Elephas maximus indicus: one gene and its partners. The protein of the gene in region 2 binds, or shares a complex with, the protein of the main gene of each other region. Links are inferred from orthologs where the notes say so. Each region holds a gene or a part of one and is shown on either strand. Other genes may lie near its edges. The genes, in order: UNC79, NALCN, UNC80 and NALF1.

Region 1 (6,853 bases), on a different chromosome or scaffold from region 2:
TTCAACTGTGTGGATCATAACAAATTATGGTTAACGTTGCAAAGAATGAGAATTCCAGAACACTCAACTGTGCTCATGAAGAAACTGTACGTAGATCAAGAGGCAGTTGTTTGGTCAGAACAAGGGGATACTGCGTGGTTTAAACTCAGGAAAGGTGTGTGTCAGGGTTGTATCTTTTCACCATACCGATTCAATTTGTACGCTGAGCAAATAATACGACTGTATGAAGAAGAACGGGGCATCAAGAATGCAGGAAGATGCACTAACAACCTGCGTTATGGAGATGACACAACTTTGCTTGCTGAAAGTGAAGAGGACTTGAAGCACTTACTGATAAGATCAAAGACCACAGACTTCAGTAAGGATTACACCTCAACATAAAGAAAACAAAAATCCTCACAACTGGGCCAATAAGCCACATCATGATAAATGGAGATTGAAGTTGTCAAGGATTTCACTGTGCTTGGATCCAAAATCAACACCCAAGGAAGCAGCAGTCAAGAAATCAAAAGCTGAATTGCTTTGGGTAAATCTGCTACAAAGGAAGTCTAGTGTTGAAAAGTAAAATGTCACCTTGAAGACTAAGGTGCACCTGACCCAAGCCATGGTATTTTCAATCGTGTCATATGCATGTGAAAGCTGGACAATGAATAAGGAAGACCAAAGAAGAGTTGATGCCTTTGAATTGTGGTGTTGGCGAAGAACATTGAATATACCATGGACTGCCAAAAGAATGAACGAATCTGTCTTGGAAGAAGTGCAACTAGGGTGCTCCTTAGAACCAAGGATGGCGAGAGTGCGTCTTACATACTTTGGACATGTTGTCAGGAGGAATCAGTCCCTGGAGAAGGATATGATGCCTGGTCCGCAGAAAAGAGGAAGACCCTCCACAAGATGGATTGACACAGTGGCTGCAACAATGGGCTCAATCATAACGATTGTGAGGATGGAGCAGGACCGGGCAGTGTTTTGTTCTGTGGTATACAAGGTGGGTATGAGTCAGAACTGACTCAATGGCACCTAACAACAACGACAACAAGGAAAAGCAGTATAGCATAATTATTGGGAACATTTGCTCTGGATTAAGACTAACAGGATTAAATCCTGGTTCTACCACCTATTAGATATGTAATTTTGGACAACTTATTTAACCACTCTATGCCTTTTTTTTTTTTATGCCTTAGTTTTCATTGTCCGTAAAATGGGTATAATAGTACACTTATCTCATAGAATTGTTATGAGGGATTAAATGATATGATATATATAAAATGCTTACAACACTGCTTGACACATGTATTTACTATTATGATAATATAATACTGTTATAATAATTATAGCTATTGTTAGTATTACCATTAGTAGTTGTTGTCGATGTTGTCTCCCTTTGAAAATGGACTCAGCTAAACTGCATACAATCTTCTCCAACAGGCCACTTTAACAAACTACATTTAACCACCGTTAAAATGCTATCATCCATGACCATATTCCAAGGATCCATTGCTGAAGAAAATGAAATCTTCGTGTCTTCCAAACATGGCTTTACTATCCTGAATTTCTTAACTTTTTGGCACAACGACTAAGACCTGAACAACAAGCTCCAAAGTGCCAACTAGGATGTCACAGTTTCTTTGCAAATGGAATTCACAATTTGCTTCCAGCTGAAAAGTGTCTCTCACTTTGAGAACTTTCAGAATTTGTGACAAAGGAAAGAGCTTCCCTCTGAGAATCCTGATCTCAAATTCAAGAGAATTCTCTTGAGAACAGAATCAGATGCCTTGATTTAAAAATTTATCTGATTATACCATGAAAACTGGGCTAATGATTCCACTGCAATTGAAGAGGACGGAAAATGTCCTTTTAGAGGATCCTAAATTTACTGTGTGAGTAAAAAATCTATGAATCTGATAAACAAGATCCCTTTAATACAGAATACAGACAGTAACGAGTCTAATGAAAGAAAAGATATTCCAAAGAATAGCAAGGAAATAGAGATGGCCCATCTGCGGAAGATTAGTACCTTCTTTCCAGAAAGCATTCAGTCAGCCTGTGGGAAAGCCTAAACCACTGGAAAAATCCAATGCCACTATGGTCACTCCTGAATTTGTGTTCTTTTCCTAATAATATCTATTTTATGAAACTTTTGCTGTTGTATAGCTAAAAGAAACAGTAAATTCAATTCTATGTTTCCAAAACCAGATTTGAGATGAGAAGATCATGGTAACGAAAGAGACCAAGCCTCAGAATTTAATGGAAAGTGAGATGTTCCTACTTTGATATTATTTCCCACAACAACTCAGGCTTCACTTGAAAGGCTCGTCTTTGTCTGCTGCTTTTCCTAACAGGAAGTGTGAAGCAGATAGGTCCCTCCTCTCTTTGGGAAATATAAAGAGTTCCCACGTCTTTAGGTTCCTCATTCTCCACAGAGCTTCAATATTAATTGTAAAGCACGTAACACATGAAGTGTTACGCCAATTAAAATGAATTGTTATTACCATAGATTATACTTCAAGAAATACTAGTATCGAAACTAAAATCTACATAATTGTGATTTTCTGGAAGACCAAAACTGTTTCCTAGTCTTAATTTTAAAGGCAAGGTACATTCTCCTTTTAACCTCACTCTATATTAGTGCCATATAACTTTCATCATTTTATAAATCTATTGAAAAGGCATTCAGTTAAGGAAAGCAGGCAAAAGCCAAGCAACCCACTTATTTCCATGAGGCCTTCCAGCTGATCTGCTATATACACCCAGAGGACTTGAGTCCATACTCTTCTGGCAGAGCACTAGAAAGCTTCAGGCCCTTCAAAATGTTCTGTTCAATAAAAATTTAGGTCCCGATAAATTCAGCAGTACTACCTAATAATTCTTTCAAAGTAGAGGATATTTTAAAGCTTACCTTAATAAGGTCTGAGAAAAGTATTTCAGGGTGTTTGCAATATCTGTTCCTGAAGGTACAGGATAAATGTTGTGAAGGACCCGGTTATGATATTCCTGCAAGTACCGGATCTTGGAAGCAACTAGATAAAAGCAAAACAAGAAAAGAAGGATCATCTTGTAATATGTATTAGGCATACAGTTATTTTTTTAATGATCAGATATTGGACTTTACTAATTATTTCTAATGTAAATTTTTACTAGAATTCCATAATAGAATTATAAAATACTTTGAATTTCGTATCACTATACTCAGCCCACAAAACTATTCTCAGTTATCTGGCTTAATATCCTATTCACAAATTACTCATTACCTTTTCTTATCACTGAGGAAAGCAGCACTCCAAATGGTTTTATAATCATTCCCAAGTTAGCTTGCTATTAGCAAAATAACAATAGATATATATCTCTGCCACCAGAGAATTATCTTTAATATTGGTTAACTAAAACTGAAGAAGAAAACTCAAAGGTCTTTCAGTAACATTAAAAATACTAAAAAATAGGGAGTCCATTGCACAACATCATCAGTTGCGACCAGATTTTTAACTCAGTAAGTGATCGTGGAAGTACATTTTAGTTAATGCTTGAACTCTAAGAATATGTTAAGAGCACATTAACCTCATGAGTATTAAATAAGAATACAATGACTATGTGGTCATAAAAATATTTTTTAAAAATGAGTGTCACATTTTTCTTCCAAAGGATTTCAGAAATTAGGCAACTTCTTAATAGCTCTCTGAGCTTGGCTGCCCAGATCTTCTCAAGATTCAGGAGGGACTAGATAGATTCATTTACCCTCCTACACCTACCTCCGGTCACCAGCAATGTCCACATTCCTGACCTGACTCTGGACCTGGCTGTAGTGAATGGGTCAGTTCTAGTCATTCCTCTTTGCAAATTCCAAGGAGCCATGATGATCAACTTCTCTCTGGTCTCCTCTTCCATAGAGTTCTCAATACTGTTCATTTGTCCTTTCAATCTTTAAGGCTACCAAGAGAGCCTCTTGGGTGGTATGGCTCACTGTCAGCAGTTAACAGAAGACATATCAAGTCCTGGAGAAGCAAGGCCTTGCTGTTCCCAATATCCAATGGAAATAAGGCCCTGGATGAACTCTAACTGAAATTCTGGCTTATGCAACTTTAATAAAGTCAAAATGCTTCTGACAGGGGTGGGACATAGAATCACAGTATGTTGAAATATCAGAACTGGAAGATCTTAGAGACCTTTTCCAATAAACACTTCATTTTAAAGATGGAGAAAATGAGGCACACAGGTAATTAACGGCAGAACTAAGACTAGAACTTAGATCTCCTAACTCCCAATCCAGTGTTCTTTCCATTATGACGTACTCTCAGAATAGGATTCTGAAACGAAGTCAATACGTATATAGCAGGTTTTTATTCCATGACATCAACGCCAGTGGTAATTTTCTGCTGTTATTAAATTAATCATTGATCCTAAATCCTACATATACCATTTCTCAGATTTGCCTTTTCTCCCTTTTACTACCTGTACTATACTCATAATATGTTTGGCATTTATCAAAAAAAAAAAATTGCAGATTGCAGATAATAATACCTTTAGTTTGTACAGTACATCAGCTCGGAAGAAAGCAACAAGTTTATATCCATTGTCTCAATTAACCCCATAATACGTGTTTGGTTGTAAATAACTTTTTTCCTGAGATAAGATATAAATAGGTGATGTTTAAACTGTTTTAATTCTATCATCTACTAAAATCCATTTTCTTCTCAGTGTTTTTGACCTGCTGTTCTTCTTTTTTAAAAAAATAAAAAATTACATTACAGAGAACCCCATATTAATACATAGTTCCAAGTCTGAAATATTTGAGATATTTGGTAGGCCAGCATATGCTTCCTGCCCATCCACCATCACAAAAATGCTTCATTACTGTGACTTTTCTCAAGCTTTAATATTCAGGAGGTTTCTGTAGAGTATTTTGGGAATACCATTCATCATTCTACCACCTAAAAAAGAAGTTGATGATCGTGCAGGGTCTGTACAATAAGCTCAAATGAAGAGAAAAGTCCTGGATCTCCCAACTAAGATGGCTTGCTCATAATTAAAAGGAGCTACAAAATTGTCACTACACAAAGACAGCAGGAATTAAAAAATGTTTGTGGAATGAATGAGTGATATTTTTATACTTCCAGTAAAACGCAGCAATAGCTCTTTTCAATGGGTATCCAAGCATGCAAAGGAAAGCAGAGTCTAGAGTCACTCCCTTCTTTGAGATATTTTAATATTTTACAAACTGCACATTTCATTGGCTTTGTTTATTTACTTACCTCTTTTTCTTTTTTTTTTTTCTATACCAGGTTATAAATTTCTTGAAGGCAGAAACTGTATCTTACCTCTTTTCCCAAACCTAACACACTGCCTGGTACTCAATGATAGGATAAATGAACAAATGAATTAATACTTTAATCACAGCACTTAACATTTGGGATATATATATACATATATACACATATGTACACATATACATATATATGCGTGTATGTGTGTGTACACACACATAAACACAATAATTGATGAGTGAAGATAGGGGAAAAAGGAAGAAATAAAGAAAGGAAAGAAAGGAAGAAAGACAGTGATAAGTAGTCAGAAAACACAGTTTGCAGAAAAGGTTGGAAGGAATGTTCACGCTGATCCACGCATTTTGTGGAATGCAGCAAAATCTCAGCAGTCGTGGATTTACCTTGCGTGATTTTAACTACTTGAGAGCAGCCAGAAAAGTCCCTGACATATAGTGAACTGTAATTGTGCTGAGGGTGTGAATATAACTCATGTACAATTCAACCTTGTACACGGGAAATGGCTGTTCGGTTAATAAACTTGATGGGATCAACCAGCAGCCTTATCGCAGGACAGAGTTCTTGTTCTTTACTCCCCCAGATAGTGAATATGGCTTCAGAGACTCAGATAATTGGGCGGGATGGATATAAACAAATGATCTCCAACCTCAACTGACCGTAAGGCCACATTTCTCTTTTAAGCTCCCACTTCCAAGCACTTTAATCACTGTTTCATCCCTTCTCCTCAAAACTCATCCACACCCACCCCTTTCCTAACACTTTAAGAAGATAGAAGCCATCTATGAGAAATCTTCTAAGAGTACAAATAAGAGTTAACAGCATAAGATCTGAATCAAATAGTTCTGAATTAAGATCTTGGCTCTATCTCTACAGAACTCCAGTTTCCTCATCTGTAAAATGGGAATAATCATAATACCAGCCACATACAGCTACTAGGAATAAATCGCTTATTATCTAAATCATTCAGCAGAGTACCTAGTACATACTCAACACATAAAAACCCGTACCAAACCCCTTGCCATCGAGTCGATTCTGACTCATAGCAACCCTACAGAACTGAGTAGAACTGCCCCGTAGGGTTTCCAAGGAGCTGCTGGTGGATTCGAACTGCCGACCTTTTGGTTAGCAGCCAAGTTCTTAACAACTGTGCCACCAGGGCTCATATATAGTATCGAAAACCTATCTGCATCTCCTTTGCTTTTCCTACCAAATGCCAATCCCACCACGGTGCTCTCCATCCATCAGTTGTCTCTCCTACATCGACCTCCCTCCTTACTAAATCATTTCCATCAGCATTAAAACATATTCTAGAATCTCCCTTGATTAAAAAAACTCTTCCTTGATTTTATATTCCACTCCATCTACTACTGGTCTCTTTCTTCACAGTCAAGAGCACTGAAAGTGTTGTACACATACTCTCACCTCTTCCTCACTTCCTATTCATTTTTCTACTCATTGCATTCCGGTTTCCACCTCCACCACTGCACTGAATCTGCTTTTTCTAAGATCATCAAGAACTTCCATGTTGCCAATCCAGTTGTTTTACTAGACCTATCAGTGCATTCCTCCTTCTGGAA
Region 2 (7,764 bases):
TTTTAACTATCACTTATATTACTTATTATTTTAAATTAAAAAATAAATTCAAAATTTCTTTAAAGTTTGCACACAAGCAGTTTTCGAAGTTTGAAAACTCCTTGCAAGGGCCCTTGAGGCAAGCAAGTATCATATAACATGGTAATCAAGTTCTAAAATGTTCATACCGCTATTTGGGGACAATTTATAATTGATCTCTTTAAGGTCACGGTTATAATTTGCAAACCCCAAACTAGAATATAATATAATGAGAGGACAGAACGATTAAAATAGAGAATCTTTAAATCTGGGATATAGTTTTGTTTTATATGATTGCTTCTATATTCAGATTGCTCCTACACAGTTTTTATTGAAAAATTCTGTATATTATGGTACAATGGTTAATGTGCTGGGCTGTTACCTGAAAGACTGGTGGTTCAAATCCACCCAGAGGCACCTCGAAAGAAAGACCTGATATGAACTACTTCTGGAAAAATCCGACAATGAAAACTCTGTGGCATACAGTTCTACTCTGACACGCATGGGGTCGCCACGAGCCAGAATTGACTCAAAGGCCACTGTTTTTTTGCTGTTCTTGTTCTTGCATTACCCCCAAACAGGAAGACTTGAAGCAACACTAGTTGGGAAGTAGAAGATTTTCATTCCTGAAAGTTTTAGGGAAAATACACAAAATAAATATTCATCTTGCTGTGTATGCAATTGGTTTTATATTTGTCTTTCCTGACAAATTCTGAGATTCTAGGTCCAACCCTTTTCTGCCCTGAACTTCCAACTCCTGGCGTAGTGCCTGATTTATATTAGGATACAATGGTGTGTGTGGATGCGAATTTTTCTTCACAAACTTGACGTCTACATGTGAATCTTTCCTTGGGATAAATATATATATAGCCAGGAAAAATCCCAAATTATTTCAGCAGTATTAGGGCAAATGATAAATAAGCACTTGCATGCACACATACCCACACGCGTACACTCACAACGTACTCAGGAAAGAGAACAGAAGCAAATGGAACACATTTCAAAAAAAGTCATGCCCCAAGAAGAAGGAAATGCTACTGAGACCTTCAATTCTCTATTCTCTAGACTGCAAGCAAATCACAATATTTTGAAGACTTTTTTTGTGTGTGTGTGTGTGTTTGTCCTTTCTTGAATATCTTGGAAGTCAGACCCAGAGTTAAACCTATATTACCACCCTTTCACAAGAAATAACTTGTTACAGAGACTAAAGCATGGTCACATAGTGTGACGGCACCTCAGTTCTGTCCGGTTGTCAAGTCTTCTAAAATATTAAGAAGGCCCAATGAGCTGTTCAAACTAAAAGCCTAATTTTTTCCCCTTCATTTTATCCGGTTTTAGCAGTGGCTGGGTCAAAGTACACTACAAACCAAAAAACCAAACCTGATGCTGTAGGGGCGATTGCAACTCACAGTAACCCTATAGGACAGAGTAGAACTGCCGCATACGGCTTCCAAGGAGTGCCTAATGGATTCGAACTGTCGACATTTTGGTTAGCCGCCAAGCTCTTACCCACCCAGCCACAGTACAGAAAAAAACAAACCAAACCCGTTGCCGTCGAGTCCATTCCGACTCGTAGTGACCCTAGAGCGACCTGAGACAGCACACAAAGGTCCACAAAATGAAAGCCAGTTGGGAAATACATTTTGGTCGTTGTTGTGGAGGTTAGGGAAGCCACGATTTTTATTTAAAACTGTTGAAATTTAATCCCTCAACTCATAAATCCAGTGTTCCTGCTCAGAGTAACTGCCATAGTCCACCGACTCCTTTCTCAATTTCAAGCCATATTACAGCTATGAAAACATCAATCATAATTTTTTTTAAAAAGCCAATTTTTGTTAATTTCTGACTCATATTAGTGGTCTTCTGTATCAATCATAGCCTTTTTATACATAACAGTCACTGGCGCGTCACCACCAACGAAATACGGGCCTAGTTTGATGACCAGACAAATACAGATTAAGGGCTAGTAAGACCCTCGAGGACTGAATCCGTGTGTGTCTTCTACACAACCTTAATAAAATAGTCCCTAAAAAATAATGCGTGAAACTGATTCATCCTGTAGTATTTCAAGAACCTATCCAGATCTGAGTTCAGAGTTACTACACTATCCTAAAAGAGGAGATGGGAGTCAGAGACATAACCCCTTGCTCGGAGTTCAGGTCGATACATTCCAGTCGGTCTCTTGAAGGTTCAGTGGCAAAATGGTGTTGCTCTGGGAGAGCAGCGCTCTGACCTGCTGTGTGGCAGCCACCCTAATGATAGCCGCGCAGAAGGCCAATTAATAAAATGAGGGATATTAAGCAAACAGCAATCCGTAGCAGCACGGGAATGGATGGGAGGAGGAGGCAAGGCCATAATCCTTCTGGAAACCTGCTGGAGCGGACTCCCCCCCACCCCCCCAACACCTGCCTGTCTGCCCTGAGGTTCACCCAAGCTGCAGGCTGGGTGCGGAGGGGTCAGTGCAGCAGCTACCGTGATGTGCAGCCACCTCATTCCCAACTAACCACCTGCAAGCCCCCCAACACCTGCTGGATGCCAGGAGGAGGGGGCAGCAGGCCGGAGATCTGGCCGACCCCGACTTCCAGCATCCTGCCCGCTTCAAAGGCCAGGAAAAGTGCATCTGGCTGCAGGCGCCAAACCACGCGCCCGGCAGGGGAGGGGAGGGCGCAAGGCGGGCCCCGGCGCCCCTTCCCCGCCTGGGGGCGAGCCCCCTTCTGCCCTGCGACGAGGTGGTGGCGCCCCTTCCCCTCGCACGCGCCGGGCCCTCTCCCCCAGCGCCTTTCGCGCCCCCCTCTCGCCTCCCTCGGCCCAACCCCGGCGAGAGGCGAGCCAAAGCGCGCCCCGGGCCTCCTGCGCTGAGCACCGCGGCCCGGCGAACCGCGGCCTCCCCGGGCGCAGCGGCAATAACCAACCTGTAACCCTAACGCTGAGAACGGTCACGGTGACCGCGGGGTGCGGCGGCGGCGGCCTCGGGCGGCGGGGCGGGACAAGCGTGGCGGGCAGGCTCGGTCAAAGGCGCGGCCCCCACACCCCGGCGGAGGCGCGGGCACCTTACCTATGTCAGCTGCCGTCATCGCGCGCTCGACCCCGGCCAGGGACCGCGGCTCTGCTTGAATTTTAGTAATTAATAGGGCTACAGTGCTAGCACTGGGGCGGCTGCGGGGTGCTTGGGATCGAGAATTTTAAGGGTTTACTTTATTTTATTATTTTATATATTTTTGAGTTGGCTGTGCTGCAGGAGCTGCGATGATGCTGTGAGTTGAAGGGAGGAAACCAGAGACGAGGCTGCTCTGCAGTTGGTGGGGACCTGGAGGGCCGGTACCAGCAGGTTCCTTCTCGCTGGCTGCCACGGGCAATCAGTCTCACAGCCACAGCTGGGATCTATTATGGGCGCGAGCTCGTGGTCTCTGCCGTGTTCACAAGATGCAGCCGTGTGCACTGGAGTCGGGCAGACGTGGGATCCAAGCAATGCCGCTGCCTGGATGCAATCAAACCCTCCGTGTGCGCGCGCGCCTGTGCGCGATCTTGTGTTACTGTACGCAGTATCTGAAGATGTGCACTAGTTTCGTCCTGAGGATGAAATTGCTAAATAGTGAAAACATCACACTAATGATAAATAGTCGTCTAAATATGTTTAAATTTTCCATTAAAATGTTTTTTCTGTGGATGAGGCTGAATGTCCATTCACAAACTGACGCTACCCAAACCAACCAAAGCAAACCCGCGGATTCCGACTCAGAGTAGAACTCCTCCATAGGGTTTCCAAGTAGCGGCTTAGTGGATTCGAACTGCCGACGTTTTGGCTAGCAACTGTGCCACCAATTCATAATCCCACAGAAAGCTGCAACTAGTGTTTCCTGGGGCTTCTGATGGAGCAGGTTTCAAGAAATCTGGGCTCCCTGCACTATCCTTAGGCCCAGTGGACAACCTCACAGTCGCATGCTCAGAAAGATTTACTGTGGGATTGGTGTCTTGCCCTATAGTCAGGTGTTAAAACCACCGAAGAACCCTTGACGGTGATTTAGAGATCTTTTACACAGACATATACATAAATGGTGAGGGAAAACTAAATGAGCTTCCTTTAAAAGTGAAATCAGAACCTCCAACCAAAAAACTATTTTCTGTCACAAAATGTTACCTTCCAAGGAATAAAAGCAAAAACACACACACACTAAAACATCTTTGAAAATGTATTTTCTGGCTCTGGATTTTTAATTGTTATCATTTTAAATCCAACTATTCACAATCCATTCCCCTATTAATACTTTAGGTCATTTGTAGGAAATTGAAAAATAACTGGCATTTCATGAAATATACAACTTGATGATTTTTTTTTTTCTTCAGATTTGGAAGATTTCTAGAAGACCAATTTCATAAAAAGCTAAGTTTTAAACAAACGATGAAACTACATGGAAATATTCTTCATGACACAAAATGGAAAGTCATTTAAATAATAGTTATATGCCAATTTCTTTAGGAAAACTATTTAATCATCTTAAGGCACTGCTTTTCATTGTTCGATTTAAATACTAGTTTATTTTGATTTGTATCTTAAATGAAATATGGTTGCATATCATCCTTTGGAATCCATCAAGTTAGAATCACCAGTTAGAGAGAAATATTTGAGGATCAAGATATTTACAAAGCTTTGACTAAAGTGATAAAGGCAGCAATTAAAATACGCTGTTTTCACTCATCTCAGCACCAGCCCTTACCAAACAGGTATTTATTTCAGACTCTTTTCTGTCAAAGTCTGAATTAACTTTAAAGCATCTAAAACTCATGCATAAGAGCCAAACAAACCCATGGCTGGTGGAGACACAGTCTTTGTGAATCCATGAGCTTCAAGGAAGCAGCCTTGGAGAAGCTCAGTACACATTCCTCCTGGAATCTGTAGGAACTCATTGTACGTGGGTGTAGACAGTCATCCCAAATGGCAGATAATTATGTCCCAAAATCACATTACCCCTTCTACCTGCTCATCATCCCATCTACTTTCTTATCACTAAAATTAGGGAGGAGGGCCCAGGTATGGTCAAGCATCTTTTCAGGACCAACAGGCTCTGGAGTTATAATCATTGCTATAATCTAGTAATTCAAAGGTGTGTTTTCTTTGGCTTGAAAGTATTTTTGAAAACTCAAGATCAATTATCAACATTTGAAAAACAGGAGATTCTTAATTTAGGTCAGGCCTGCGTTTCTGCGAGGCGAAGAGCTGGAGGTATAATGGCCGCCTCCTTTAAACCGGCCTACCATTTGCTCCATTCCCCCTCAGTCAGCTTCAGCAACAGGCCCCAGAAGACTTTTAAGTGCATGATCCCATACAGTTAAATCTGTATTAAACAATGTGAGATTGAGGAAGGGATGTTGTTAAACAGAGAGAAAACTGTCCAGCTACAAAGATGACTTCACAAAATAGAGTAAAACCAGGCCAATGTACAACCAAGCCAGTAAAATATGGCCTAGAGAAAGTTGTGTTCATAAACTGACAAGTCCTTCAGAATGGAAGTAACTATGGAATGTAAGACAGTAAGAATTTTATGAAAACAGGGCTTTTGTTTCTCTCTAATTTATCTGTTCTTCTTGGTTATTTTCACTTAAGTTAGTATCCTGTTTGACACCATAGTGCATTACTGAGTAAACAATAACAATGCTAAAAGAGAAAATTATAAAAACCATGAGGGAAATGCTACATACTCTATGAGAATATATATGTACTGAGTTCTACTGTGGATTCTGTTAGATTAGATTTACAGGTGAATTACACTTTGGTAACTACCCAAAACTCTCCAAATTTTTTGAGACTCTTAAAATTAGTTTTAATCTGTACATACTTGCTTTTATTGTGTGATCTTAGGGCTAACATATGGCCCACTTAGTGCCAAATATCGATGTGCTCGAACTTTCCCTGTTAAGAGATATTTGGGGGAAGAAAAAGAAAGGTCCAGAAGACCCATTTAAAAAATATAAACAGGTTAAACAGGGCACTCTAGGGCTCGCTAATCCACTAACACAGATTGGCATATACAAAATTCATTCTATGCAGAAGAGACACATTTTGATAATGGAAAGCTTGGGGTAGGTTTAACACTGTTTGCTTCCTGGACCTCCACAGTGAGAAGCATAAAATGATTGCTTGTCTCTGGGGAAAGGGAAGAGATACCAAGAGGAAAAAGCACTTAGCCATGCGCCCCCAAAGGCCTCCTTCACCTTACTTCATCCTGTCTCAGATCTTGAGAAGGAAACAAATGTGCTAAGTTTCCAATGAGGAAAGATCTTTTGGTTTGGTGGTCATCACATGCAGGCAATATTCTGGATGGAAAACTTCACTAATTCCTTGTCTTCTCATGAGTCAGCATTTTCAGGTGACCACAAACACTTCCACTGTGGCTTGCTCTATTCTAATATAAGCATTAGATGATTTCGGAAAATGTCTCACATCTTACTTTTCCCTTAAGGCAATGCTTACCAACTTCCTTTGATAATAAGGGTAATCTGGGCATCTTAAATGTTTCCATGAAGATTTTGGTTAAGTATGTCCGGAGCGAGACATGAAACTATGGAAAATCTGTCTTGATTAAAAAAAAAAAAAAAAAAACACCTTTGAGCAGCAGGATACCAGCAGTTGGTACATATTCACAGGCATCCATTTCCTAATAGACCAGAGTGGACTTGCCCACTCCCTTCCCTCTGCTGCAAGTCCTGTGTACTTTCATTGCCATATGGACCTGGGACCAGTTCTGGACATCATCATATGGACACTCGGCTAGCTCTGGAATCCTTACACATGGTTTAAGTTCTAGTTTTGTTATGTGAAGCACCAAAACCGTGCCAGTGCATCTATGGGGTAAAAGACCAGCTGAAGAATCAATGTGAGGTCTTTGCAAGGTTGTCATAGGGCAGTTTATGTTCACAGTAGTTCCTACTTGCAGCGAAATTAGCCGCAGATAGGAGATAGGCTCAGCATAACCTTCAACAGCAAATAAATGAAGGTAGGGTAAAAGCATGGAAAAAAAAGATGATATTAAACCCAAAAAGACAGAAACTCTTAAGCTAGGCAGAAACATATTAGAACAAGAATTGATTCCTTTTATGGAAAATACACTGCCTATGATTTTTTTTTTTTTTTTTGATATAGGGGGAGGGGGAACAGAGAACAAACAAATAATATGTTGTAGAAGGAAGTATGGTCTTCACACTTACATATATTAAAGATTAATTGGAATTTTTTCCTAGCTCACATTTTATTTCAGAGGAAACCTGGGTTTAGAAGAAGAAGAAGGAAAAAAGACTGTGAAATCAAGGGTAAAAAGAAATACCAATTAAACAGTCTTTCTGGGAGCAAAACAGAGGTCTCTTTGTGCTGAATGGCAGCTGAGCCAATCACCCAAAGGAACCAGAGGACTTCTGAAAACTAAGGTCACATTTCAAATAAATCACTCAGCAACAAAATGGAGCAGATTCTGACGATTTGATAAAAGCTGCTATCAGCTACAAGTAAATCTTCCAGAACCCAGTTCTGAAAGTACCCTCAAAGATCTCATTTGTTGTATAAAATATCTTAATATGTTCATCAATACCAGGGGCTCATAGCCACTTGGGTTGATGTGCTGGGTCCTCCCACAAGGCAAGCCACTCAGAAAGGTAGAAGTGCTAGCTGAGGGCAAGGGAATCTAGAATGGTTGACAGAGAAGAGAGGTGATGAGTATCACTTACAGACTTGGGCCCAAGTGTAGCAAAGAGGGT
Region 3 (7,617 bases), on a different chromosome or scaffold from region 2:
TTTGACACAGTAGCTCAGACATAGTAACAGTTGTGAGACATATGGTGTTTTGGGCTAAAAATGCCCAGGACATATGGGATATAGTTAATGGTACATCAGTAACTCTACATAGTGGGAGAGACCCCCATAGTAGGTAGAACCTCTCTGTTCAGATTCCAAACCTACAGCATCAATGTAATCATCACACATTTCTGACTAATAGACACATGACAACAGCAGTCATCCTTCATCTTCGACATCTTATGGGTAATGGTGGGCTCTTACAAAAAAACTGTTTTTATTAATTACTATAAGTGTTTATTTTAACACTAGCTCTCACCTACTTACACAACACTCTGGATTCTGTTTACTGCAGCAATCTTTTCCAAAGCCCAGCCAGAGTTCTCTTCTGCTCAGTTTGTCTGCCAAGAATGTTTATTCACATGCTTATCTTACAACTTGGCATTTGACACCTATCAAAATGTCCCCTTCCATTAAAAAAAGAAGATGACCTTCAGGGATGATATATATTTAGCTGCATCTGTCTGGATCCTATTAAAATTTCTTTTTATATGCCTTCTGAGGCCCAGTAGTCAGTTTCCTTTCCTGGTCCAAGGCTACTCCATTCCTTGGCACCATCTTTGGAGAATCCCAAGTACCATCTTTGGTTAAGCTCCACATCCAATCCAATGCCTTGCACGATGGAATGGTAATATCATGCAATGATTTGGAAGGAGCAATTCATTAACTGCAGTAGTGTAATTGACCAGATGAACTCAGTTCTTAGCTTTCCTCCAACAGTGTTCATCTGAATTGGGGGGAAAAAAAAAAAAGCTATGAAAGAAGGCAGTGTAGAAAAAGCATTTAAGAAGGGTAAATTTTCTCCCAAAAGTATAGAAATATTTGGGGGTTTTCAGTGGGTGTATGAAAGGTAAAAGATCATGGTATCTTGATTTTCCACTAAAATGTTATTTTGACAATTAATTTTGACAGTGCTTATTTTAGATTTCTTCTGCCTCCAGATAATTAACTGCCTCAAGAGCTTTCTGGAATGGGAAACCCCATGATGTAGCTCCTTCATCTTCTGTGCAGCAAAGTGATTATTTTGTGCATCCTTGGATAGCTTCCACTCACATCACTCATGGCACTTCTTCCAAACCCTGCTACACAATACTCAATATTTAAGCAGAAAGTCGGGCAGGAAATTTGAAGTCAGGTTTCACAGCTTCCTTCATCATTTACTTAGGCAGGCTGCGTAACTTTTCTGTGTCTCAGTTTTCTCTTCTTTAAATGTTGGTAAAAGGGTTTTTGTGAAGATCAGTTAATCAATGCACTTAAAACAGACCTTGGCACATAACAAGTGTTCAATAAACACTATTTGTTATTAATATTTTTCTGGCAAATGCCTTACTCCTCTGCCATTAAACACTTGTAGAAAATGACTTTCCTGATTAACTCACAGCTTAAAAAGTCCGTCAAGCCTGAACGCTTTTATATTTTCATCTTTCCCCTCTTCCTAATGGTGGCATCTACCATTCTTCCTTTTTATCTCCCATCTCAAAGAGAACTCATTCCTCCACCCAGAAATGATCGGCCAGCTGTGCATCAGATATAATCTCCTTCAAAATTCTCTTCCTAAATTATCCTCTCAAATATCCTTAACATTTCCCTCTTCAATGACTCTTTAATTCTGGTCCATAAATAGGCCCCTGGTTTAAAAATAATTTGCTTATTTTTTAAAAATCCTATATGGATCCTGGAAACCTGGTGGCATAGTGGTTAAGTGCTACAGCTGCTAACCAAGAGGTCAGCAGTTTGAATCCATCAGGTGCTCCTTGGAAACTCTATGGCGCAGCTCTACTCTGTCCTATAGGGTCACTATGAGTCGGAATCAACTCGACAGCAGTGGGTGGTTAAATGGAGCCCATTCTAGTGCCTGAGTATTTTCCTTTATTTTATTTTCAGACTTGTAAAAAGATTATTGAACACTCTCTGGTTTTCCACCTCCACTCTCCACTCACTCTTCAGTATTCTGGGTCTCGTTTCTCTCTTAATAACTCAAATAAAAACTACTTCAGTTCAGTTTGCCTTTACCAGAAAAAAAAAAAAAAAAAAAAAAAAACCTCTAAAACTTGAACCAGCGGGATTTTTTTTCAGTCTTTTCTCTTCTTGAACTTTCAGCTGTTCACTCTTTCTATCCTGAAGTTCTCATTTTTTGGTATCTTGGTTATCTCTTTGTCTTCTCTAACCTCTCCTTTTCAGCATCTGTATCAGTTGTTTATTTTTGGCATAACAAATTACCACAGCCCAAAACAACACAAAGCTATTATCTCACAATTTCTGTGGGTCACGAGTTTGATCATGGCCCAGCTAGATCCTCCTCTCAGGCTTCACACAACTGAAATCAAGGTATCAGATAGGGTTGTGGGCCTATCTGAGGCTTGGGGTTCTCTTCCGAGCACATACAGTTTGTTGGCAGATTTCAGTCCCCAGAGGCTATAGAATTCATGGCGACTTGTATCTTCTTTGCCAGTAAGCATCTGCTACAATTTTAAATCTCTCTGATTTCTTCTGCCTCTGACCCAGATCTAAAAGGTTCGTGGGATTAGGTCAGGCCCACCCAAGACAATCTCCCTAATTTAGTCAAATGATTTGGGAATTTAATTACCTCTGCAAAATCTGTTCACAGTACCATTTAGATTAGTATCTGATTGAATAACAAGGAGAAAGTATGTACACTGAGGGAGGGGGGAGTCTCCAGGACATCTTCCAATACTGCTTACCCCAGTATCCTATGCTGTCAACACTCAAAGGCATTCTTTGTGACAACTGATTAAATGTTGGTACTACCTGTACTTCCAAACTTGAGCCCTTTCTTTTCTCTTTCCGCTTATTCACATGGATTATTTTATCTACTTCCATGTATTCAGCTACCTTTTATACCATGTTGACCACAAAACCAATCTATCTTACAGAGTTAACTCTTCTGAACTCTCTATCCATATTTCTAACTGCTTCCTAATGATATAGGGTTGCTATGGGTTGGAATTGACTCGATGGCAACTTTTTTTTTTTTTCCTAATGATATCCATTGGAATCCATTAGGGACTTAAGGAAAACTCATTACTGCTTCCATAAACCAAAACCAAACCCACTGCTGTTAAGTAAACTCTGACACATGGTAGCCCCATGTGTTACCGAGTAGAACTGCTCCATAGAGTTTTCTTGGCTGTAATCTTTATGGATGCAGATCACCGGGCCTCTCTTCTGTAACACTACTGGGTGGGTTAAAACTGCCAACCTTGTGGTTAGTAGTTGAGGGCAAACCGTTCGCACCACCCAGGGACCTTAATGTTCCCATAAAATAAAAATAATTTTTACATAAAGCAAGAATATGATTCTTCCTGTCAATATTTTTCCTGTCAAATTAGATTACCAAAACAGAAAATTTGGAGTTTTGGTTAATATTTACTGAAAGTTTAATATAGATCAGGGACTTTCTTAAGTTCATTACAAGTATTAACTACCAGTGTTAACATTCAATCCTCCCAAAATCTCTATAGGGAAGGAAACCTTGGCAAAGTTTTTTTTTTACTTAGCCAGAATATTATATCTAGTAAGGGGTAGGCTGGAGTCTCAGATGTCTGTCTCAAGACCCAAGATCTTAAGTACTATGTATCTATGTTTCTTTCCCCATGCCCCCTTGGGGATTAAGTCCTATTAATTCTACCTCTGCAGTGTCTTTCAAACGGATTTACTTATCTCAAGCCCTGCTTTCACAACCTTGATTCAGGACAACCAAAGGAAAATGGCAGATACCACTGGGGTGAAGAGGATCATCCAGGTGCATTTAGTGGACCATCATATACTAGATTTCCTCGTTGCATGATTCAAATGACCTTCCTAAAGTTGCAATAACTGATAACCAATTTCTTGAGGTTACCAATTGAAAACAAATTCTCACATCAGAATTTTGAAGCTTCCTCTGACTTGCCAAGCTTACCTCCCTTCCTGTTTTACATTTCTAATCATTTTCATGCGCTCCTTCCTGTTAAACCCCGAGGGTAGACTCCTGACCTCTTTGCTAGAGGTGCGAATGATGCCAGGGTTAGTGACTGCTCTGCGGTTTCCCAAAGCTCCTCCTCCCCAGACCGTGACAATTCTTCGGATGCCGAGGTTGGGAAGCAGGACAGAGGACACTCCTGGGGTGCAGTTCGAAAAGGGGAAGGCAAACCCTGGGGGCTGAAGAGGCCAAGCAGGGGACCGGCGTGCAATGCAAAGCGTGGACCCTCTAGGTCATTCCCAGGCTGCTCCACCTGCCCCCGGCTCGCGTCTGTGGCAGGGCCGCCCAGCGCGGACCGCTGTCCACAGTGGGAGGTGCTGAAAGCAAGGAGCGGGCGCGGGGGCGGCGAGGCGGACAGCTCCTCGGAGCGCCCCCCTCCTCGCTCCGCGGCTCCTCCAGCCCTCCCCTCCTCCCGCAGCCATGTTCCGCGTGCGGGGAGGGGCGGGGGAAGGGGAGAGGGACTCGGGATCAGGGCGGAGAGAGCCAGCTCTGCCTTGGGGAAGGAGGGGATGAGAGTTGGGGGGAGCAGCGGGAGGAGGAGGAGGAGGCGGTGGCGGCGGCTAGCGAGGAGCCGGCGCTGGGTCCTGCAGTAGGACTCTCGGGAGCCACCATCATGGTGAAGAGGAAGAGCTCTGAGGGCCAGGAGCAGGACAGCGGCCGCGGCATTCCCCTGCCCATCCAGACCTTCCTGTGGCGGCAAACCAGGTGAGGGGCGCAGAGGGCGCGCCGCGGGTCGCCCTGGGCTGGGGGCGCTCCTGGGGCCGCCCGAGTCGCCGCCTCTGCCGCCGCTGCCGCCGCTGAGGCCGCGCCACAGCCTGCAGCTCCCTCTCTGGGACTAGAAAGCAAGCCCTCTGCACCCTCTTAAAAACGCGCATTTTTTTTTTTTTAAACGTATCAATGAAGTTTGACGACAAGTAGATTGGCAGTTGTCAAATAAATATATACATTATTAGGTGGCGGGAGGGCAGATAGCCTGGGAAGCGGGGGCAGGGAACTGGTGAAGATAATTATGACTGGCTGTGCTCCTGCGTCCAATTCCCTCTCCACCTCCTGCTGTAATTCTACGCGGTGACCTGTTGTTTTTCCAGCTCCTGTTTGGCGAATATCTGCTATGCCCACTTGTTAACTATTTTTGCTCGGATTCAGCCAGTATAATCTTCCTGTCTAAAGCCCTGACGGAGAATGATTTTTGATAAGGGATTGCTTTTTCCTGGAAAGGCCTAAAACCTCTTCCAATTAACAGAAAACAAAATTTTCTTTATTATTATTATTAGAGATTTATCGGAGAGGAAATTAGATTCTGGAAATCATGACCCACACGCCATATTTATTTTTCAGCTTTCGATATGACTGTGCACATCGGTGATGCACCACTTGTAACCCTTGATGATTTAGACTCTGATTAAAAGTCTTCAGGATAAGAGCGGGTACAGAAGACCGCAGAGCTCCACATTTATTTCATAGATATAATTACACATGTAAACGCCTAGTCATCAGCTGTTCAACACCTGCTCATTAACAAGCTGTAGGGAGACATGAAATTTGAGTTTCATAGGATCATGTCGTGTTCATTGAAAATATGTCATGAGGGTATTTTAATATATTTGTACTTATGTTTATAACAAATATCTCTATTGGTTTTTCAGTGCATTTTTGAGGCCCAAACTGGGGAAGCAATATGAAGCCTCCTGCGTGGTATGTGCTTTTCACCATTTAATGATTAATCCCATATGCCGTGTGGTAACTTGAACTCAAAGAAAGATGTTAAATGATACTGACTGTATAAATTATTTCATTCAGCACGTATCATTGAGCACCTATATGCCAAACGCTGTTCTAGGTGCTGGGAATAGGGAAATGATTAAAATAAGCATAGTGGGATAGGGCAGGTCATCATCAAATAAGTGGAATACATAGTAAGTCAGATGGTGATAAGCACTACGGAGAAAAATTAAGCAAGAAAGGAGGTGAGGGAGCATTAGAAGTAGGGATTTCATTTTCATAAGGGGAGAGTGGGTGAGGCCTACCTGCTAGTGTGATCCTTGGACAAAGATATGAAAGAAGGGAAGGAGAGAAATAGTTGAGGGAAGAGCAGAGGGAACAGTATGTCTGAAGGATCTCAGGTCAGAGTAGAAATGAAATGGCAGGATTGGCAGAGGGAGATTAGTAGGAGAGGGTAGGGAGATAATGCAGAACCACGTGATGGAAGTCCTTGCAAGACAAGTGTGAAAAGTCAAATCCTTAACCAACAGTTGAGACTGTTACATAATGGAAGTTCATATAAGAGTGCCTGTGAACAATTCAAACAAAGCAGTATGCAACTCTGAATTTGTATGTCTTGCATATGTTGTGCAAGCCTGAAAATGGAAGATATAATTACGGAAATAATGCTATTGATATTTAAGCAAAATAAAGTTCACTTATCCTGAGTGCTAAGGATATTCCATAACCTTACAAATTCCCATTTTGTAAATTGAGAAAATAAGTCATAAAATCATCCAGCAAAATTGAAATAAACTTTTCACAAATTTCCTTAAAACCGGGAGCTCTTGTAAAAGCCTTTACATTGCATATAGTATAGCCTAAAAGTAGACGCATAAACATTTGGATATTGGCATGCATATTTGCAAATGACTACATGAATGTCTCTGTATTAAGGAGTTGTGAAATGCATTAGGGCCACAAACTATGGTGGAAGCTAACTGAAGAGTTAAACACACTCACACTGACACATAGACACTCAAGTAGGAATTAGTTTTGTTCCATCGCCTGCCTTTCAAAGTTGTCACAGAAATATCTTTATAATTAATTTTCTGATAAAGATCTTTTTTAATGAAATTTGTTGTTGTAGTTAGTGTATATCAGAGGGACTTGACAATTAAAATATGTGAGCCTTCCTTAAACCATGCCGACACTTATCCTAGCTTAGAATGTTGTTGTTAGGTGCTGTCGAGTCGATTCTGACTCATAGAGACCCTATGTACCACAAAATGAAACACTGCCTGGTCCTGCGCCATGCTCACAATTTTTGTTATGCTTGAGCCCATTGTTGCAGCCACTATGTCAGTCCATCTAATTGAGGGCCTTCCTCTTTTTCACTGATCCTGTACTTTACCAAGCATGATGTCCTTCTCCAGGGACTGAACTCTCCTGACAGCATGTCCAAAGTATGTAAGACGTAGTCTCACCATCCTTGTTCTAAGGAGCATTCTGGCTTTACTTCTTTTAAGGCAAGCTTTGAATAGTCTAGACTTTTTCTGTTCTTGGCTAAGAAGTGTTTAGCATTTTTAATGTAGTCATAAAGTTTCACAGAGCTAGATCAAGTATCATGTATATGAAATGACGTATACCAACAATATATGTTGTTGTTAGGTGCTGTAGAATCACTTCTGACTCATAGTGATCCTATGTACAACAGAATGAAACACTGCCCAGTCCTGCACCATCCTTACCATCGTTGCTAAATTTGAGCCCATTGTTGCAGCCACTGTGTCAATCCATCTCCTTGAAAGTGTTCTTTTTTGCTAACCCTGTACCTTGCTGAGCATGATGTCCTTCTTCAGGGACTGATCCCT
Region 4 (6,997 bases), about 7.4 Mb from region 2:
GTTTAAAGCAGCAAATACATCTGGAGTGGTGGGGTTAAGGGAATGGAATTAGTAGAAAAGCCCCGGTGGTGCAGTGGTTGAGAATCTGGCTGCTGAGCAAGGGCATGGCAGTTCAAATCCACCAGCTGCTCCTTGGAAACTCTGTGGTGGGTGCAATTCTACTCTGTCCTAAAGGGTTGCTATGAATCAGAATTGACTCCACAGCAAGGGGATTTGGTTTTGGTGTACCTGACATGAGGAGCTTTGGTGGCACAGTAGTTAAGCACTTGGTTGCTAGCCATGAGTTCAGTGGTTCCAACCCACCTGCTACGCTGTGGGAGAAAGATGGGGCAGTCAACTTCCATAAAGATTTACAGCTTTGGAAGCCCTGTGGGACAGTTCTTCTCCATCCTGTAGGGTCTCTATGAGTTGGAATTGACCAGATTTTTATATCTGACATGAGAAAAGAAAGACTAAATATGTATTTCAACAGCAAGTACAATATTCCATTTCAACACAGCTGTCTGCCAGTTTTTTCTTTGAAGAAGTTAATGTCGTCTTTACACATAACCAGAAACCCTGGTGGCGTAGTGGCTAAGTACTACCAGCTGTTATCCAAAGAGTCAGCAGTTCAAATCCACCAGGCACTGTTTGAAAACTGTGGGGCAGTTCTACTCTGTCCTACAGGGTCGCTATGAGTTGGAATCGATTCAGTGGCGAAGGGTTTGGTTTGGTTTGAAACACAACCAAGGTTATGTGAATCACTGTGAACGGGAGCAGGTCTTACCTGATTTGAAAGTCCAAACTGCGAGATTTGTAGGTACACTGAGTGGGAAAAGAAGAAGGGTTTGGTGGGGGCAGGGGCAGCTGTAAGAAGTCGGGAAATGGTGGCTGTTTAGTTATTTCAGACCTGGAACCATTGTAACACTGACTTTGTTCACTTTCCTGCCTTTGGAATCGCTGAAGGTCTCTGGTGTGTTTTCCCTTTTCATGTTAAATAGCCAGAGGCTCTCAGGTCACCCCTGTCTGGAAACTAGGTCTAAATCTACCTGTGCATTTTCTGTGGAAGCTTTCCCTGCTAAGGGATATCCTGCGGGCTTTATCAATCAAGGGTTTTCTGAGCTTTCTATCTTACACAGGAGAAAGAGTAATACACATCTTTCCAGACAGCGTTTTCAAATTAAGAAGAAACAAGGTGAAGAGAGGTGAAATGGGGGTAGATAAAAGAAAGAAGCTAGATAGAGAAAATGGTTTATAAAATTAAACCCTGTAACCCAGACATTAAGCAACTAAATTGAGACAGAGAGAAAGAGGAGAAAAGAAACAAGAAATATCCCTTAAAATAAAAAATATCCAGCGCTGAGTTATAAGAAGAAAAGCATTGGATTATTAAATTAATCCACACTGTATCACAAAGACCCTACAGGTTCAGATCAACAGGGAGAGGGAGTCATTTCAGGATTCAGAATGTGATAGGTTTCCTTTCATGTTCTACAAAGCCATGTTGACTGAGACACAGAAAAGCAGATTTCTGATACTTTCTTCCACAAGCATTTGTTTAGACAACAGAAAATGCCAGACTCTACACTCAGTGATGTCTGCATGCAGCCTTTTATGTTGAAGGTTATATTTAAATTTGACTTGGCTTAAGAGGACAAGTTTTAAATTTAAGAAGAAAGCAATTATGACAATAGGGAGGGAGACAAAACAAAATGCTTTCTAAAATTTTAGGAGATCTTCCCAATCTATATCTTTATTCAAATCATTGGCTGAAAAAATAAAATTTTATTCAGTGTCGAAATAATTTAAATTAGCAAAAGATAGAAGAACTGAAAGACTATCTCCTCAGCTTAAGCCAGGTTCAGATACAAAGCTCAAAAAAAAGTTTTTTTTGTTTTTTTTTTGGTGTTTAATTTTCAAAAGAACATAATTTTTTTGCTTATTTAAAGATGCTTCAAGTAAGGATAAACTTGCCATAGTAGGGTATATTTGGTAATTTTTAGATCCTTCAATTAATCAATAAATTTCAACGCATTTAAATCCAAAAAATTTGAATGCTATACTTACCAAAATAGTATTTTAAAACATTATATGACATACTTGTAGATCAGCCAGCCATCAAACTGAACTTTGTTGATCACTGCATATGGTTTAAAAAAAAAAAAACCCAAACCAAACCCATTTCCATGGAGTCAATTCTGGCATACAGGATAAAGTAGAACTGCCTCTTAGGGGTGGTGGATTCAAACTGCCAGCCTTTTGGTTAGCAGCCTAAGCTCTTAACCACTGCGCCACCAAGGCTCCACATGGCTTTGTATATATCTTATGCCGCCGAAGGAACCGGTTGGTTGAATTATGCCAGTACATTTTGCAACTTTTTAAAAATACCTACTTCTCCCCAATTCCAACAACCACCGCCCCTCTAATAAACATTAATCAAGATATCAGTTTAGGTCGAAGGCGCGCCAGTACCACAATTCTGGGTGTGCACCCCGGCATTGTAGGAGGATCACTAGTAACACCGAAGACAGGTCAACCCCGCGATTGTCAAGCGGAGCAAAGTGCATGCCACGCGCGACCACCAGAGAGAGCTGGGCTAAGCCCTGCGCTCTGCCTGGTGCGCTTACAGGAGGCGCCCGGCACCAACGCCACGTCCCTGCTCCTCTGGCCCCAGCGTGGGGTGGGGGGCAAAGAGGGTAAAAGTAATTCCGAGGTTTGCCCACAGCTGCGGCCGGTAGGAGCCAGGACCGAGCCAGGGCACTCCAGATTTTCCCAGCGTGTTTGGTGCTTTCCTTCTCAGAACTCTGCGAGTCAACGCTAAGGGGCACCAGAGACTCGGGCTGCAGCGCCTGACGCCCAGACAGCCCAGCGCACAGGCTGCTGCGGAAGCCCTGGACGGCAGAACACCCAGTTCAGGGGGGGCTGGGGAGCGACAGCCGGCTTGGGAGGGGCTGGGGGTTCAGGAGCTCAGGCTGCTCCAGGTCCCAGGAGGAATCCCCTAAATTTAAGACATGGAATGAGGAAGAGAGGGCTAGGTCTCAACTGTTTTTTCCTAAGACTTTATGAGGCCACTTCTAATGTCTTTTTGCTTTAGAATACGAAAACATGAATATAAATATGTAGCTGTTAACGTATACACACACTCATTCCTTCCATATTATAGGATCAGTTGACAAAATAATTTAACACTATAATGCTGTTAATCTCCACTTGTCTAGAGATCCCGGGGTGCATCCAAAGAGACCAAATATCACCCTGTCTCCTCTAGACAGCTCGGGTTTACTCCCCCGGCCCCCACCATTATTTTGACATAAACCATTCATTAGCTAAGAAAACAGTACCCAGACCCTTGCCCCCAAAGGAACCTCTAACCGCCCGTCTGAAACTCGGACTTTTTCCGGGAACCGAGAGGAGAGGGAGTGGGAGATGCAGAAGAAATTAAACATCGTTCCCAATCATGCGGTCCACATTCTGACTTTTTTTTTTTTTTCTCCAGTGATTAAACAAGAAGATAGAGTGGGGACCGGGAGGGGCAAGGACAGAGCCAGGACCCGAGCTGAGAAAGCCCCGGGCCGGTGGGGGGCTGGGGGACGCTCCCCGAAGCCGGCCCCCGCCTCCTCCTTCCCCGCAGCCTTCGCCCTCCTCCTCGGGCCGAAGCCGGTGCCAATGCGCCAGGGTGGAGAGCTCTCGGCGCGGGAGGAGATGACGCAAAAGCCAGCGCTCCCCCCCAAAAAGTGTTTCTTCTGGACGAAGATGGCGGCAACTTAGCCGGGGGACTGAAGATGACCGTGGCTCTCGGGAGGCCCGGCGCAGGCGACTCGGCCCCCAGGCCCGGCGCGGACGGCGCGCGCGGCCGCCGCAGGAGCCCGGCAGCGGCGTGGGCAGCGGGAGCCCCGGCGGCGGCGGCGGCAGCGCCCGCGGGCAGACCTGCGGCAGCGGCGGCGGCGGCGGCGGCGAGAGCGCGGGGTGGGGGGTGGGGGGGAGGGAGAGCTCTGCCGGCGGCGGCTGCCCAGGCTCTGGACCAGGGGAGAGCGAGACAGAAGTAGGAGGAGGAGGAGGAGAAGAAAGAGGCGAAGGGAAAGAAGGAGGAGGAAGAGGAGGAGGGGAGGCGCTCTGGTCGCCGTCAGTGGGCAGCCGAGACGCGGCATGCCCCGGGCAGTGGAGAGCCGGCTGGCCTCGGCAGGGCCATGGGGACCCGCGCTCTGACAATGCCGGGCTGAGAGGAGCCGCGCCAGGACCCCGCCACCTCCACCATCACCTCCTGCACCCAGCCTCCCCGCCGGCCACCAGCACCAGCCTCCTCCGCCTCTCTCTCTCTCTCTCTCTCTCTCTCTGTCCCTCTCTGCATTACTGTCTTCCACTCCACAGAGGATGGGGTCTGCCGAGGAGTAGGTCGGAAGCCAGTCAGCCCTTCCTCCAAAGCCTGGTAATCTTTCTGTAGGCAAAAGAAGAGAGAGAGAAAAGAGAGGGAGAGAGAGCAAAAGAGGGAGAGAGAGAGAGGGAGAGAGAAGAAACGGGAGGAGGGGATAAGGAAATTAAACCCTTTAAGTCAATGCATATTGTGGTGAGACCGGCACAGGAGCCCTCACGGTGGAGTCGGCCAGGGCTGTGCGTTCCCAAAATATGACCAGGGGTGCTTGGATGTGTCGGCAGTATGACGACGGCTTAAAAATCTGGTTGGCAGCACCCCGGGAGAACGAGAAACCGTTCACCGATTCAGAGAGGGCTCAGAAATGGCGACTGTCTCTGGCATCTCTCTTGTTTTTCACAGTCCTGCTCTCTGATCACTTGTGGTTCTGCGCCGAGGCCAAACTGACCCGGACCCGGGACAAGGAGCAGCGGCAGCAGCACCAGCAGCAGCAGCGGCAGCGGCAGCAGCAGCGGCAGCGGCAGCACGAGCCCGCCTGGCCGGCGCTCCTGGCCAGCATGGGGGAGTCCTCGCCCGCCTCCCAGGCACACAGACTCCTCTCCGCCTCCTCGTCCCCCACCCTGCCCCCCTCTCCGGGAGACGGCGGCGGCAAGGGCAACCGAGGCAAAAACAACCGGAGCAAGGCTCTTTTTCTAGGAAACTCTGCCAAACCCGTGTGGCGCCTGGAGACTTGTTACCCCCAGGGCGCCTCTTCGGGCCAGTGCTTCACCGTGGAGGACGCGGACGCCGTGTGCGCCAGGAACTGGAGTCGGGGGGTGGCGGCCGGGGGGGAGGAGCAGCAGGTGAGAGGGAAGCAGCAAACCACGCTCTGGAACTTGTCGGATTTTTACCTTTCGTTTTGTAATTCCTACACACTTTGGGAGTTGTTCTCGGGGTTGTCGAGTCCCAGCACTTTGAACTGTAGTCTGGATGTGGTGCTCAAGGAGGACGGCGAGATGACCACCTGCAGGCAGTGCGTCGAGGCTTACCAAGACTACGACCACCACGCTCAGGAGAAATACGAAGAGTTTGAAAGTGTGCTGCATAAATATTTACAGTCGCAGGAGTACTCGGTGAAGTCGTGTCCCGAGGACTGTAAGGTAGGAACAGTGGATTCCCCCCCCCCTTTCTGCGTTTTTCTGGCCGTTTGCTTGGTTGTGGTATCTTCCAGTGTTTTTAAATATATATATATATTCCCTCCCCCGCCCCCGTGGTGGTTACCGTGGTTATAAGAGCTTGACTTCGTGCTTGAGTTAGGGCTATCTGTTGGATTGCAGGGGGACTGATTTTTTGTGGGGAGGGGAAGGTGGGGGGCATCTTGGAAGATCACGGAAGACCCTGGTCTTCTGAGATGAGAAAGCTAATGCTATTATTTATTTCTTAGGACTATACAATTAGCTCAAACTCTGTTAGGTTTCATAAAAACTGGATTTTGAATGTCGCTTTTTAGGAAAACAGTGATGGGGCCGCATGCTGACGATCATTAACTAAAGTCAGACTAGTCAGAAGCAGCATGCACAGTTTGGCAGATGGACTCGCACACCTGAATCCTCTTGTAATGCCGTTATTAAATTGGTTGACTAGCAGGACGATAGAAAGTTTTTTGTGGTAGTTGAAGTAGACTTAAGGAAAAGCATTTTATCAGTTTTTACAGGCGTTGTAGTGGTTACAAAGTCTGGGGGCCTGTATTTTTCCTTGGACTTGGTTGTGAGTAATCATTCATCTGAGACCCACTGTGGGTGGCAAGTTGCAATTGGGTATCTAGTGATCCATTATCATTGTTGGTTTATTTATCAGACACCTCATGTAATTAGCTTGAATTTTCAGAATGCTCTCCGTAATTACTAACTGGCAAGTGCTTGGTGCTATGAGCTAAATTTTACTGAACTCTTTAACTTGTATTATGTTCAGCTTCTTCCTGTTGACGATATAAAGAATAGAACCCTTGCTGATTGGCGAAGAAGTGTATGCAAGTTTCTTAGGAAATGACCAGTGCCACCATCGGTGCGTAGACCAATTGTCGCTATCCATGGTGCTGACACGAGATTTGCCCAAGAATTCTACTGAAGCTGCAGATGATGCAGTGACCTTTAAGTAGCAAAGCAGTGATGACAGACTCTCAATTAGTCTTAATGTATTGTTCTAAAGATCACTTCTTCACCAACAACAAAAGAAACATTGCTTTTCAACAGAAATAATACCCCACATCCTCTTTTTATCTCTTCTCTATTCCCCCAACCTGATACAAAACATCTGTCTCTCTGCCTCACTTGCCTTTTGTCAGGGAGACAGTGATGGGAAAGTGCAATCAAGGGAAGTATGGGTCGAAGGATTTTGTGAAGTTTTGACCAAAAAACCAGCATAAGAGATACCTATTAAAAATGAACATAGAGCAAGGGCTGTATTTTAGCTTGGGCTGACTAGTTGTGCTTTTGGTAATTAAGCTGATGCAGACTGATTCTGCTGTGTTAACATTCTTTAAGAGCGGAAACGAAGATCCACTTCGAAAATAGCAATGTTAAGTTCATCACATTAATGTAGAATGCAACTTCACTTAATAATTGCATCTTAAACTTTACTACTTTTTTTTTTTAAACCGTATAACTATAT

Evidence for each region.
Region 1: the proteins of NALCN (region 2) and UNC79 are in contact, whole or in part, in a cryo-EM structure (PDB 7SX3), measured with the Homo sapiens proteins. The link is inferred for Elephas maximus indicus from reciprocal best matches to the Homo sapiens genes NALCN and UNC79. Residues at the interface, in NP_001337678.1 of Homo sapiens: Gln349, Met350, Phe351, His352, Glu353, Gly358, Trp359, Gln360, Leu361, Phe712, Ser713, Ile714, Arg717; in NP_001333147.1 of Homo sapiens: Cys861, Gln862, Ile865, Glu968, Pro969, Asp970, Phe1020, Gln1022, Pro2088, Asp2089, Ala2092, Pro2093, Leu2095, Leu2096, Met2099, Leu2139, Pro2141, Asn2142, Gly2143, Ile2144, Gln2147, Leu2148, Ser2151.
Region 3: the proteins of NALCN (region 2) and UNC80 are in contact, whole or in part, in a cryo-EM structure (PDB 7SX3), measured with the Homo sapiens proteins. The link is inferred for Elephas maximus indicus from reciprocal best matches to the Homo sapiens genes NALCN and UNC80. Residues at the interface, in NP_001337678.1 of Homo sapiens: Asn639, Met643, Val644, Ile646, Lys648, Leu649, Pro650, Phe653, Val655, Pro656, Lys657, Ile658, Arg659, Glu660, Phe662, Met663, Lys664, Gln665, Phe666, Ile667, Arg669, Val711, Ser713, Arg715, Ala716, Arg717, Leu719, Lys722, Glu723, Ala725; in NP_115893.1 of Homo sapiens: Lys1979, Asn2004, Glu2005, Cys2006, Asp2007, Leu2128, Arg2129, Leu2130, Pro2131, Pro2134, Arg2135, Ile2138, Asp2139, Phe2142, Phe2145, Ser2146, Glu2179, Asp2184, Glu2185, Met2187, Leu2188, Asn2191, Asn2194, Ile2198, Leu2199, Glu2202, Ser2226, Leu2227, Ser2228, Gln2231.
Region 4: the proteins of NALCN (region 2) and NALF1 are in contact, whole or in part, in a cryo-EM structure (PDB 7CM3), measured with the Homo sapiens proteins. The link is inferred for Elephas maximus indicus from reciprocal best matches to the Homo sapiens genes NALCN and NALF1. Residues at the interface, in NP_001337678.1 of Homo sapiens: Cys207, Val209, Asn220, Leu222, Ala223, Ile224, Pro225, Thr227, Tyr237, Pro240, Phe243, Tyr406, Glu409, Phe909, Ala1044, Lys1045, Asn1047, Pro1049, Arg1054, Ile1060, Arg1062, Ile1063, Asn1064, Val1065, Ser1066, Lys1069, Lys1080, Lys1081, Gly1083, Phe1084; in NP_001073865.1 of Homo sapiens: Lys278, Glu281, Phe282, Val285, His287, Lys288, Tyr289, Leu290, Gln291, Glu294, Tyr295, Ser296, Val297, Lys298, Ser299, Tyr308, Trp311, Leu312, Gln315, Leu335, Gln338, Thr339, Cys341, Phe343, Ile344, Leu345, Pro346, Asp347, Asn348, Asp349.

What each region holds. Positions count from the first base shown.
Region 1 is NC_064828.1:107,068,665-107,075,517, reverse strand, and holds the start of UNC79 (protein unc-79 homolog), read right to left. Parts: upstream 3,015-6,853; 5' UTR 2,900-3,014; intron 1-2,899. UniProt on the Homo sapiens protein: Auxiliary subunit of the NALCN sodium channel complex, a voltage-gated ion channel responsible for the resting Na(+) permeability that controls neuronal excitability.
Region 2 is NC_064841.1:66,276,021-66,283,784, forward strand, and holds the start of NALCN (sodium leak channel NALCN), read right to left. Parts: upstream 3,004-7,764; 5' UTR 2,931-3,003; intron 1-2,930. UniProt on the Homo sapiens protein: Voltage-gated ion channel responsible for the resting Na(+) permeability that controls neuronal excitability. NALCN channel functions as a multi-protein complex, which consists at least of NALCN, NALF1, UNC79 and UNC80.
Region 3 is NC_064824.1:108,203,863-108,211,479, forward strand, and holds the start of UNC80 (protein unc-80 homolog), read left to right. Parts: upstream 1-4,612; 5' UTR 4,613-4,655; coding exon 4,656-4,747; intron 4,748-5,688; coding exon 5,689-5,737; intron 5,738-7,617. UniProt on the Homo sapiens protein: Auxiliary subunit of the NALCN sodium channel complex, a voltage-gated ion channel responsible for the resting Na(+) permeability that controls neuronal excitability.
Region 4 is NC_064841.1:73,626,903-73,633,899, reverse strand, and holds the start of NALF1 (NALCN channel auxiliary factor 1), read left to right. Parts: upstream 1-3,987; 5' UTR 3,988-4,602; coding exon 4,603-5,487; intron 5,488-6,997. UniProt on the Homo sapiens protein: Auxillary component of the NALCN sodium channel complex, a channel that regulates the resting membrane potential and controls neuronal excitability.